3 linked regions of the Sus scrofa genome follow. The protein of the gene in region 1 purifies or fractionates together with the protein of each later gene. This does not show direct contact. Links are inferred from orthologs where the notes say so. Each region holds a gene or a part of one and is shown on either strand. Other genes may lie near its edges.

Region 1 (2,687 bases):
ACTAGAAGGAAAAAAGAATCCCTGTTTGGTAGTCTAGATACTGCAGGTAGGTTCGACAAATATCAAGAGGCCAAATCAGGACAGTTTTGTAAAACGTGCTGGGTATACTAATGGTATATAAGCTGCTGTTAGCTAGTGCATGGACGGACGTATATTTCTGGCAATATTCAGAAGTTGAATATTTAACATAAAAAATATATACGTAAGAAAAAAATGTAACCAGGACATCATACCTTGATTTCATGGCTATAACTGCTGAGAAAAGTTGAAGAATAGAAGCTACATGGCAGTTCACTGTAGACAAGGCCAGTCACAGGTATGATGCCCAAGGATGTCCACAAGCATCCAGGGGGTCGGCTCGTTGATGGATTCCATTCCACTACAGGAGTCCAACAGCTGATGTGGAACTGCTGTAGGAAAGGTGTCTGACTGTTTAGTTTAAAAAGTATCCAGAAGGCTATGGCAAATGTGGAATTGTCTTCCTAGTGCTCTGAATATCAAAATCTTAACAAAGCTCAGTGGAAGGGGAGAGTACTCAGGACTTTATCAATAAGATATTTGGCTATCATAAATTAATGACATACTGGAACAGAGGCGAGGCCGTGGTCTCTTTATTGCTCACTGATTATAAACAGTCATTCTTCTCAGGAAGAAACATTTTCAGAAACATTTTAATAAATCATTCACATTTATTATTTTTAATTCTAATGTTTTATTTTTAATTATTTTTCTGCCAGATACGGTACATAAAATGTTTCCACTTACAGTAGTGGTGTGTCTGTGTATACATATATATGGTTTATATAAAAAGTTGATTAAAAAATCAAGTTAATACAATAAGTGCAAAAAAATCTTTAACCTTTGAAAATTACTGTAATAAAACCAAAAAGTCAAGAGACTGGGCTTTTAAAATAAAAGCCTTGCCACTACCTATTCTTTTAATTTTTGTCTTTCTTCTCTGACTTTACAGCCAACCCAAAACGAGACAAAGTCACACGTATGTATATAAATCTTAAGTTGTTCAAGATTTATGTAAGCAATGTTTCCGCATCACGAAGAACAATATTTAAGAGGCTATTTTATGTTTGTTTCACAGGTTACTATTCTGTTGTGTTTCCAGACTGGCTGATACTTCCACGTAATAGATACCTATCTCTTTTTCTCATTGTTAGTCCACCAATCCTATTACTGAGTGTTATAATTACCATTTTGGTTAAATACCCTCATTTAGTTCTCAAATAATAAAATCAAGGAAAAAAAAACCCTCATGTACAGCTTTTTTTTAATAAGTGGGTGTATTTCTATTTTAAAACTTTGAGAAAACATATATTGTTTACACTGTTGCAGCAAACCCTTACTCAAAAGAAACTTCAATTTAATAACACTGTACGGTAAACTCATCTTTATTACTTCCCACACTGTATGATAAACTCGTCTTTGTTATTTCCCACTCTGTATAAAAAAGCATTGTTTTTAGGCTGCCACTGCTGTGATTTCAAACCCTGGTGTGCTTCAGCTTCTAAATATGTAAAGTCAATCTTGAGATAGGTAGGTGAGTATAAGTAACTGCACTGGACCTTATTAACAAAACATTTCTATAATCTGTTGCATGCTGCTTCAACTCTAAATATCTGGTTTTCCCTTCTCTCCTGCAATTTTATGACTTTCTGGTTTACAACTTCCTCAGATTCAGAACGGAATAGTAATTAAGGAATAATATCTAAGAAGCCTTGCTTTTTTGGATTATGAGATTATAGACAGGGGAGTTTCAACTGTGGTACAGTGAGTTAACCATCTGACTACAGCAGTTTTAGGTTGCTGAAATTCCTCTGCCCAGCAAGATCCAGTGTTGCTGCAGCTTGGATTCAATCCCTGGCCCAGGAACTTCCCTATGCTATGGGTGTGGGCAAAAAGAAAAACATTTTAGAAAGGAATAAGCCTAAACGTTTACGTGTTATCATTAAAGCACTGAAAAATTATCTTCCACAAAACCAAATTATTTATCAAATCCAATGTCTGGCATCAGACACCTGGACTGGATGGGTAATTACAATAGCCATATTCCCAAAATACAACCTATATAGAATTACTCCTAAAATCATTCTTAGGCAAAACCTGCCTGGAACAGACTAGCTGCAATGCATATAAACACATTTATACCACTTTCTTGTATAAAATTTTTCAGAAAAATTATGGAGAATGCAGTAATTTATAAAGAATAGCTGTTTATGTAAACACTTTATATCAAGAACAAAACAAACTCAGAAAAATGTGATCAGTGTATTACCTTTCACAGATAGGCAACTAATGCCCTAGTATCTCAAAATCCTTTACAAAAGGAGGTAGCTTAATACATTCTAGTTCAGGAGTTTCGGCCTTTGGTCTTTGCTACTTTTTTTTCTTCTTTTTCTTTTCATCTGCTTCCATTTTAAGCTTAACTTCTTCAGCTGTAAGAGCTCCCAGTTTCTTACTCTTTGCTTTCTTAACCTTTTCCTTGATGGTGGCCACATCAATTTTAGTTTCAGTAGAAGCTAAATAAGTTAAAAATACATGTAACAAGATTTAATATCAGAGTACTGCTGTAATTGAAAGGTCATGTTATAAAACTACAAAACATCTGCTGAAAGTTAGAAATTTCAAAATGGCATAATTTATATGAACAATTACTCAATGCAACTATATTAAAA
Region 2 (4,292 bases), on another chromosome or scaffold:
GAATGACCCTTTTCTCCAGTCCCCCATTTTCCTGGGCCTCCTCCTTTGAGGACCCCCTGACCCTCTGCCCCCAACAGGTCATGATGTTTGGCAGCCCCACCATCGCCCAGGAGCTCCTGAAACAAGGTGCCAGCCCCAATGTCCAGGATGCTTCCGGCACCACTCCGGCCCACGATGCAGCCCGTACTGGATTCCTTGACACCCTGAAAGTGTTGGTAGAGCACGGCGCTGATGTCAATGCACCTGATGGCACCGGGGCACTCCCCATTCATCTGGCTGTGAGAGAGGGCCACACCTCTGTGGTCAGCTTCCTGGCTGCTGAATCTGATCTCCATCACAGGGACGCCAGGGGGCTTACACCCCTGGAGCTGGCAAGGGGGAGAGGTGCTCAGGATCTCATGGACATACTACAGCGGCACACAGTGGCACCACTGTGACCTGGGGCCACCCAGTCCAGCAACAGGACCCGGCTGGGTTCTGTGTCAGAAGAGAAGGGAAGAAACACTTTCTCCCTTAGCTCCTCCTGCCCACTGCCGAGGGGCACAAGTTTGTGGCTTGTTGGTGTTGATTTCTGGGGTGTGTGTGTTTGAGGTGCATTTCTCATTTTTTTTCCTCTCACCCCTTTTGGTGTATTGGGCAGAGAAGGGCTCCTGCAGGCAACAGCCACCTAAACGGTTCAGTTTCCTCCACCCCCCAGACTGCTGGGACTACAGACAAGTCCCAAGGGCAGAGCGTTTAAAGCCCTAGCTCCAGAGTGAGGTCATTCCTTCCAAGGCTCCTGGAACCTGTCGACCTTGGCCAGCTATACCCAGAGCTAGACCTCAAGTGTGCACACTGCTTTCGGGCATGGGGGAGGGGGGTGTTCCAAATCAGTAAAAGGGTAGTATGAGTTCATTCATATTTTGTTTAAAAGCTTGTTTTCCAGTCCCTTGTACAGCGTTAACACATTCTATTTATTAAGCTTTATGGAAAAAATTGTTGTGTGTGTAATTTAATGTTTTTACCCATTAAATTAAGACTTGTGCATGATCATAGCGCCAGTGGCTTCTGATTTTTGAGGCTGCGATGGAGAGTCGTGCATTCAGGATGTTTGTGGGGGTGGGCACCCAGGTCGCGGATCGTGGGTCCTTTGGCGGAGGGGCGAGAGTGGTAATTCCCAGGGCGCAAGGGGTGAGTGAGCTGGGTGGGGCAGCGGTTTGCGCTGTCGGAACGGAAGGGAGGCAGGAAACCGCGAGTGGAGAAAGGGCCCCCAGATGTCAGCTGGGTGCCGGGAGCCCTGGGGGTGGGGGAGTGGGGTGGGCGGTGGCCGTAGCCTTCCCTGCAGAGGCGTGGCCCATGGGTGGGGACTGCCGTCACAGGGCTTGGGATCCCGGAAGGGCCAGGGGCTGGGTTAAGTGCCGTCCACGAGGCTCCGCCCCATTTAAAGCTAGCTTGCTAGGGAGTAGCCCCGCCCCCTGGGGCGCCCTCCGTACGCTTGCGCAGTGTGCCCAGAGCCGCCATGCCGGAGCCGCGCGGGTCGTCGCCCCTGCGGGTGAACGCGGCGTTTGCTGCGCGGTACGGCCGCTACCGGGAGCGCGAGGAGCTGCAGCGGCGTGAGTGCGGGGCGCATGCGCGCGGGGCGCCGGCGCATGCCGGGCGGTCAGGAAGTGGGCTTGATCTGGTCCCCCAGGCTGACCTGAGGGCTCCTATCTGTGCCCCACAGTCAAAGATCGCTACGGAGACCAGGACGGCAGTGGCGACTCCAGCTCCGAGTCTGACTCCAGCGATGAGCGCGTGGTGAGCTTACCCGCTTCCGTCCTGAACTTGGGGAGGCTTCCAAGCACACCATCCTTGCCCGGCTTATAGGGAGCTGCTTACCCTCATCACCAGCGCGCCGAGGGGAGCTTTCAACTCCCGCCCTTCATTCCCTTGAGAGCCAGACAGCGTCCTCCCCATCCCCAGGGGGTGGCCAGATTCCCCCTACCTCCCCCTTCTCACCTCGGAGCTCCTGGCCCATCTTGATCTGTGAGGTGTAAACTGTCTGTCCACCTTTTTGTCCCTAACAGTCTAACCCTTTCTCAACGCCTGCCGCTCTCCCCAAAGTGGGGCATCCCTCTGCCACATGGGGCACCCACCTTTTCCCCATAGCAGCCCTGATCTTCCCAGTCTCCCTGAGTGGTCCAGCCCTTTCTCTCCATTCTTCCTGTGCCCTTTCTGCCCACCTAGCCCCGTGTCCTGAATCCCTTACTGATGCCAGGAAGTAACCTCTCCTTACCCACTACTTCCATTTCATATCCTGTACATATCCTATGTGTGGACCACCCCCAAGACGGCCCCTCTCCCTCCTCCACCCGTTTGCCCCCCTCTTCCACTCAGATCCAGACCTCCACCCCCCACCTGCCTCTCTAGCCAGATTCCCCTTCCTGCTTCTTAATATATGCCCCTCCCCCACCCTAATTCCCACACCCTCTCAGCCCACCTACCCCTGGTGCCCTCATCACCAGGTGCCTCCTTCTGAAATCTGTCTCCACCTCTTTTCCTGCCCTAGGAATTTGACCCCCAGCAGGAGCGAGACTTTTACAGGACTCTATCCTTGTTGAAGAAGAAGGATCCCCGGATTTACAAGAAAGATGCCACATTCTATCAGAGAACAGGTCTGGGACTGCTCGTTTTTTTGTTTTGTTTTGTTTTGTTTTTGTCTTTTGAGGGTGGGACCGGCAGCATATGGAACTTCCCAGGCTAAGGGTTGAATCAAAGATGTAGCTGCCAGCCTACACCACAGCCACAGCAACTCAGGATCCGAGCCACTTCTGTGGCCTACAGCACAGCTCAGGGCAATGCTGGATCCTTAACCCACTGAGCAAGGCCAAGGATCAAACCCACATCCTCATGGATACTAGTTGGGTTCATCAACCACTGAGCCATGACGGGAACTCTGGGGCTGCTCATCTTGAGGCCCAGTTTCCTCATTGCCTTATGGGCTGTTGTGATTATTTCACCAATCTTTTTTTTTGGCTCTACCGAGGCATGCGATCCCAGGCCAGGGATTGAACCTGCTGCACCACCACAGCAGTGACCCGAGCCACAGCAGTGACAACACTGGATCTTTAACCCAGTGAACCACCAGGGATCTCCCTATTTCATGAGTCTTTACACATCACAACAGCAGGAGTTCCTGTTGTGCCTCAGCAGGTTAAGAACCCTATAGAATACATAGATACTCTGTGAGGATGTGGGTTCCATCCCTGGCCTTGCTCAGTGGCTTAAGGATCCGGCGTTGCCTCAAGCTGTGCCGGATGCAGCTGGTAGCTGCAGCTCCCATTTGACTTCTAGCCTGGGAATTTCCATATGCTGTGAGTGCTGCCCCTAAAAAAGACCAAAGGAAAAAAAAAAAGGCTGTATGAGACTTCCCACTATGGCACAGTGGATTAAGTATCCAATGTTGTCTCTGGGTAGCATGGGTTCGATCCCTGGCCCTGTGCATTAGGTTAAGGATCTGGTGTTTCTGCAGCTGTGGCATAGGTCCTAGCTGGGGTTTCTGACAGGGAACTTAAAAAAATGATAATAATGGCTGTGTGCTTGGCACTGTTCTGAGTGTAAACTACTCACTGAATGGTCACCACCAGGTACTACCGGGTAGTAGCCCGTGTGATACATGTTTGAGAGCTGGGAGCAGGCGGCCTGGGGATTTGAAGCCTGGGTATGACTCAGGGAGGAAGGGGTGGGTGGGTGTGGCTGATGGCAAGTGTCTTCTGGTGGCCCCACAGCATCTTCCTCGGAGAGCGAGGAGGAGCCGGCAGCTGAGGAGAAGCAAAAGAAGGTTTGTCCCATGTACCTGAAGGACTACGAGAGGAAGGTCATCTTGGAGAAAGGAGGGTGAGGAGAAAGCCTGGTGCCCCTGTTCTTGCCTTTCCAGGGCAGGTGGACACATGGGGGACTTGGGGGCAGGGGTGGGATGAAGCCCATGACTCATCAGAGTTGAGAGGGGAGGAGCCTTGGTGACCCACTCCCCACCCCATGGGGACAGACAGGCCCTGGGGCACCTATCCTGAAGCCTTCATCCTTTCTTGCAGCAAATATGTTGATGAGGAAAATTCAGACGGGGAGACCTCTGATCAGAGACTCCAGGTAAGTGGGGTGCAGGCTGGGCGGGGGGGGCTCGAGGGGCCCAGGGCTGGGCCTGAGGCCCATGTCACTCTCTCTGCAGCAGACCTCAGCGAAAAGTTATGTGGAGGAACAGAAACAGCTGAAGGAAAGGTGAGCCCTGAGGCCGGCTCAGCGGTCAAGTGGAAAGGAGTTGAGATGCTGAGGTT
Region 3 (3,652 bases), on another chromosome or scaffold:
CTTAGAATTATAGAACGGTGCTTTCTTTTTTGGCACTTAACTGGGCTTTTTCTGATAAACGGAGCATCCTATGACGTAGTATTTTAGGTTTATCTGTTTGCAAAGAGAATTGTAGAATTACTGAGACTAAAGGAATCTGGGCTGGTAGTTGAGTCTGTCTTCTTGGGTCTTTCTGTATCTCAGGACTTCAGGTTAATGATTCTTTTTTTATTTACTTCTTTTTTTACCCATTCCTTTTTCCTGCGATAAATTCCTACCTTTGAAAGGCAACTTAGTGATCGTTTGGATATACAAAGTGTATAAAAAAGCAGTTAGGAAGCATCTGAATAAATGGAACGTTTCCAAGCAAGTCGAATGGCCAGGATAGTATTTGGGAAGTGGAGAAGGCTCTTTTCTTTTGGAAGATTATTGGATTGAATAAGCTTATTGAAAGAATGGCATTTTAATGGTTATATGAGCAAGCAGAGATTGCAAGGAAGTACAGAACAGGTGTCAGCAAACTATTGAGCCTTTTGCCTGTTTTTACAGATAAAGCTTAATTGGAACACTGCAATGCCCATTTATTGACTTGGCCTTCATGGTGACAGACCAGAAGGCTTACAAAGCCTAAACTGTTTACTATTCGGCCCTTTTTAGACAAAGTTGGCCAGCACCTGGGTTAGCATGTCCTGTTCATCTCTTGTCTGAAATAAAGATTTCATTTAGAAAGAAGCTTTAAATTTTCCAAACATATATGACTGTCCTTTTACTGCATATAGACTACAGTCCATTTGTAAGTTAGGAAAAATTGTTTATGCAAAAAGTGAAACAAGAAGAAGCATAAGGACTAGACATGACAGTTTTGATATAAAGTGATGGTAATTCTGTTCTAAAATTACTAATGCCTTTAGGATTCTTGTTCTAAGTATGCCTAAGGAAGTGACATTATTTCTAACATAGAATCACAGGGCTGGGAGTTTTAAGTCCTGTAGGTAACCTTTAAAAACCGGGGTTTTTTTTGGAAAACAGAAGTGATAAGCCATGAAGACCTGCTGATTATGGCCATGGCAGTATTTCTAACACTGACTATTTTGACAGACATACAAAGGATGAAAAACCAGACAAGGATGATTATAGCCATGGCTTTTTGCGTTCTACAGGGCTGACCATTTTCCAGAAGAGTAGTAGAAGGTCCAAGGAAGAGGCCAATCGTGGACTGCAGACAGTCCTAAGTTCTGGTTTAGGTCAGCTCTGTTATACTAGCATCCTAACAGCCATAAAATTTTAAAAGCCTGGTATGGTAGGTAACCCACTTGACCCAGAGTGGAACATTTAAGAGTGTGATGGAGAGTTCTTACTGTGGTACAGTGGGATTGGTGGCATCTCTGCAGCACCAGGATGGAGGTTTGATTGCCAGCACAGTGTTTTAAAGGATCTGGCATTGCCGAGGGTTCAGCATAGGTCACGACTGCGCCTTAGATTTGATCCCTGGCCCATAAACTGCATATATACATATATATATGTATCTATGTGTGTATGTGTATAAAGAAGCCTAAAAATGTTTTCTTGGCAAGTCTGTGTCTCCCCCTGTTTTTTTAATATAACCATATTTTTCAACCAATGAAAAAGAGATTCTTAGCAAATTGAAACTGGAAATGTGGTCAGCATTTGAAAATATGCCTTTCTGCATCACACTTTTACTTTGTGATCTCATTGGTATTTTTAAGAAAAAAAAATTGAAGGTTTTTTTGTTTGTTTGTTTTTGTTTGTTTGGTCCTTTAAACCCAAGATTCAAAAAAAGCAAAAACTGAAGATAAAGGAGAACCTGGAGACAGTGCCCAGGCTCCTGAAGAAACAGAAAACAGTATGGAAAAGCCAGACAAGGATGATGACACTGAGGTTCCCAGCCTGCCCCTGGGACTAACAGGTAACTTCCACAACGTTTTCCAGGTAGATCTTCTTTGAAATGTCATGCATCCCTGGACTATAGTTTGAAGGTCCAGTTGTGACATTTAATTTACCTTGAAAATCTAAGTATTGAAGAAATGATTTTATATCTAATTGCTGCTTTTTTATCTTCCACATTGTATGCTTACTCCTTGTTTCTTTGTCTTCCCCTCTCTTTATTTCTAACACTGACTGTTTTGACAGACATACAAACAGCTCTTGGGGTCCTCTGTTCCTTTGGTTTGTCACTTTCCAGAGCTCAGTCCATGCTGTAGTGGGGAAATCACTGGCCGGGATGTCTGAAGCCCAGAGGTTTGATGCTGGCTCAGTGGCTAAAAGAAAAGGAGGACGTTAACATTATTGAGGGGCTTATGCCAGGGTCTCCTTCTTTGGCTCTACTCTTTATCTCCAAAGTCAAGAATTTAGGCTAGAATTGGTTGCTCCCAACTAGAATTGTCTAGGAGATACTTGAGTTGTTTGGTTTGGGGGTTCTGTTTGTTAAAATATTGAGGCCCATCCTCCAACCTACTTAATCAGATTTGCAAAGGTTATGTAGTTATTCTCAACCAAGGTAATCTTACCTCCCATGTAAAGGGACCGGTTAATTTTAGTTTTCACATTCAAAGTCCTGCATCCCACAGATTACCTCTGTCCCAGGCAAACCGTGAAGATTGGCCACCAACATGCTTGGTTGGTAGGCAGGCTACTGGCATCTAGTGGGTAGAGGTCAGAGATGCTGCAGAACATCCTGTAATGCATGTATACAGCCTTTCACAAGAAAGAACTATTTAGCCGAAAATGTTAGCAGTGCCAAAGTTGCTAATACCTGGGTTATCGCCGCAGTGGCATGTGGGGCAGTAGGTCCCCGGTGATCCTGGTGCCATCCCCTGCTGGGGAACCACTGCACTCCTGATAACGTGAGTATAGTCTGACATCTGTGGCTATACCTGACTCCTCTCAGTGAGAATAACTAATCTTATTTGACTTCATAGTCAGATTTGATTGTACTGAATGCTTTCATTTTATTTCAGATTTCTTAACCATTTGATTTCTCTCTGAACTCTCTTCCCACAAACAGTCTCCCCCACCCCACCCCCAGCCTTGGCGTTTTCATTTCATACAAGTCCCTTAATTGTACCTCCGTCATTATTAGTTTGTTACAGTATTAGCTCTGAACTTTAAGTTACACAACCATAAGCAGTGGAGAAACTTTAAAAGTACAGGGTCTTTTTCTTGATATTACGTAGGAATAGTTGGTATTTAGTTTTTTCATACTGGAAGAAACTTTTCTAAGCTCAACACCAATGTCATAATGTTTTTAATCAGCAGCACTAGTTTAGGAAACTATAGCAGTGTTAACTGTATTAAGGTAAATTTGCTGATGGTAAACTCTTTTCTGTTTAGGAGCTTTTGAGGATACTTCATTTGCTTCGCTGACTGATCTTGTCAATGAGAACACTCTGAGGGCAATCAAAGAAATGGGTTTTACGAACATGACTGAAATTCAACATAAGAGTATCAGACCACTTCTGGAAGGCAGGTATGAGTAACATTGAGGTTTGAGCATTAGTGTCCCTCTTCTTAGTGCTAATAGTTTGGAAAGGAAATACCAGTATTTCTGTTGATTTTGTACTGTATTGGGTAAAATATCCAACCTTCATTAAAGGCTTTAGGTTATTGACTGGTGTTTAGAGAAAAGTGTTCACTTCTGTTTTTAGCACAGTTG

The links.
Region 2: the proteins of KRR1 (region 1) and KRI1 purify together in Homo sapiens (affinity purification with mass spectrometry; 3 studies listed by BioGRID and IntAct, with this or other methods). This does not show direct contact. The link is inferred for Sus scrofa from reciprocal best matches to the Homo sapiens genes KRR1 and KRI1.
Region 3: the proteins of KRR1 (region 1) and DDX18 purify together in Homo sapiens (affinity purification with mass spectrometry; 3 studies listed by BioGRID and IntAct, with this or other methods). This does not show direct contact. The link is inferred for Sus scrofa from reciprocal best matches to the Homo sapiens genes KRR1 and DDX18.

The regions. Positions count from the first base shown.
Region 1 is NC_010447.5:38,809,153-38,811,839, forward strand, and holds the end of KRR1 (KRR1 small subunit processome component homolog), read right to left. Parts: exon of another isoform or gene 2,532-2,687; coding exon 2,389-2,531; 3' UTR 1,243-2,388; coding exon of another isoform or gene 971-1,242; 3' UTR 596-970; downstream 1-595. Other genes in the region: GLIPR1 (glioma pathogenesis-related protein 1), read left to right, coding at 971-1,242. UniProt on the Homo sapiens protein: Part of the small subunit (SSU) processome, first precursor of the small eukaryotic ribosomal subunit.
Region 2 is NC_010444.4:69,334,170-69,338,461, reverse strand, and holds the start of KRI1 (protein KRI1 homolog), read left to right. Parts: upstream 1-1,357; 5' UTR 1,358-1,498; coding exon 1,499-1,592; intron 1,593-1,702; coding exon 1,703-1,776; intron 1,777-2,527; coding exon 2,528-2,633; intron 2,634-3,746; coding exon 3,747-3,855; intron 3,856-4,052; coding exon 4,053-4,107; intron 4,108-4,186; coding exon 4,187-4,236; intron 4,237-4,292. Other genes in the region: CDKN2D (cyclin-dependent kinase 4 inhibitor D), read left to right, coding at 78-437.
Region 3 is NC_010457.5:23,428,547-23,432,198, forward strand, and holds part of DDX18 (ATP-dependent RNA helicase DDX18), read left to right. Parts: intron 1-1,768; coding exon 1,769-1,906; intron 1,907-3,330; coding exon 3,331-3,466; intron 3,467-3,652. UniProt on the Homo sapiens protein: ATP-dependent RNA helicase that plays a role in the regulation of R-loop homeostasis in both endogenous R-loop-prone regions and at sites of DNA damage.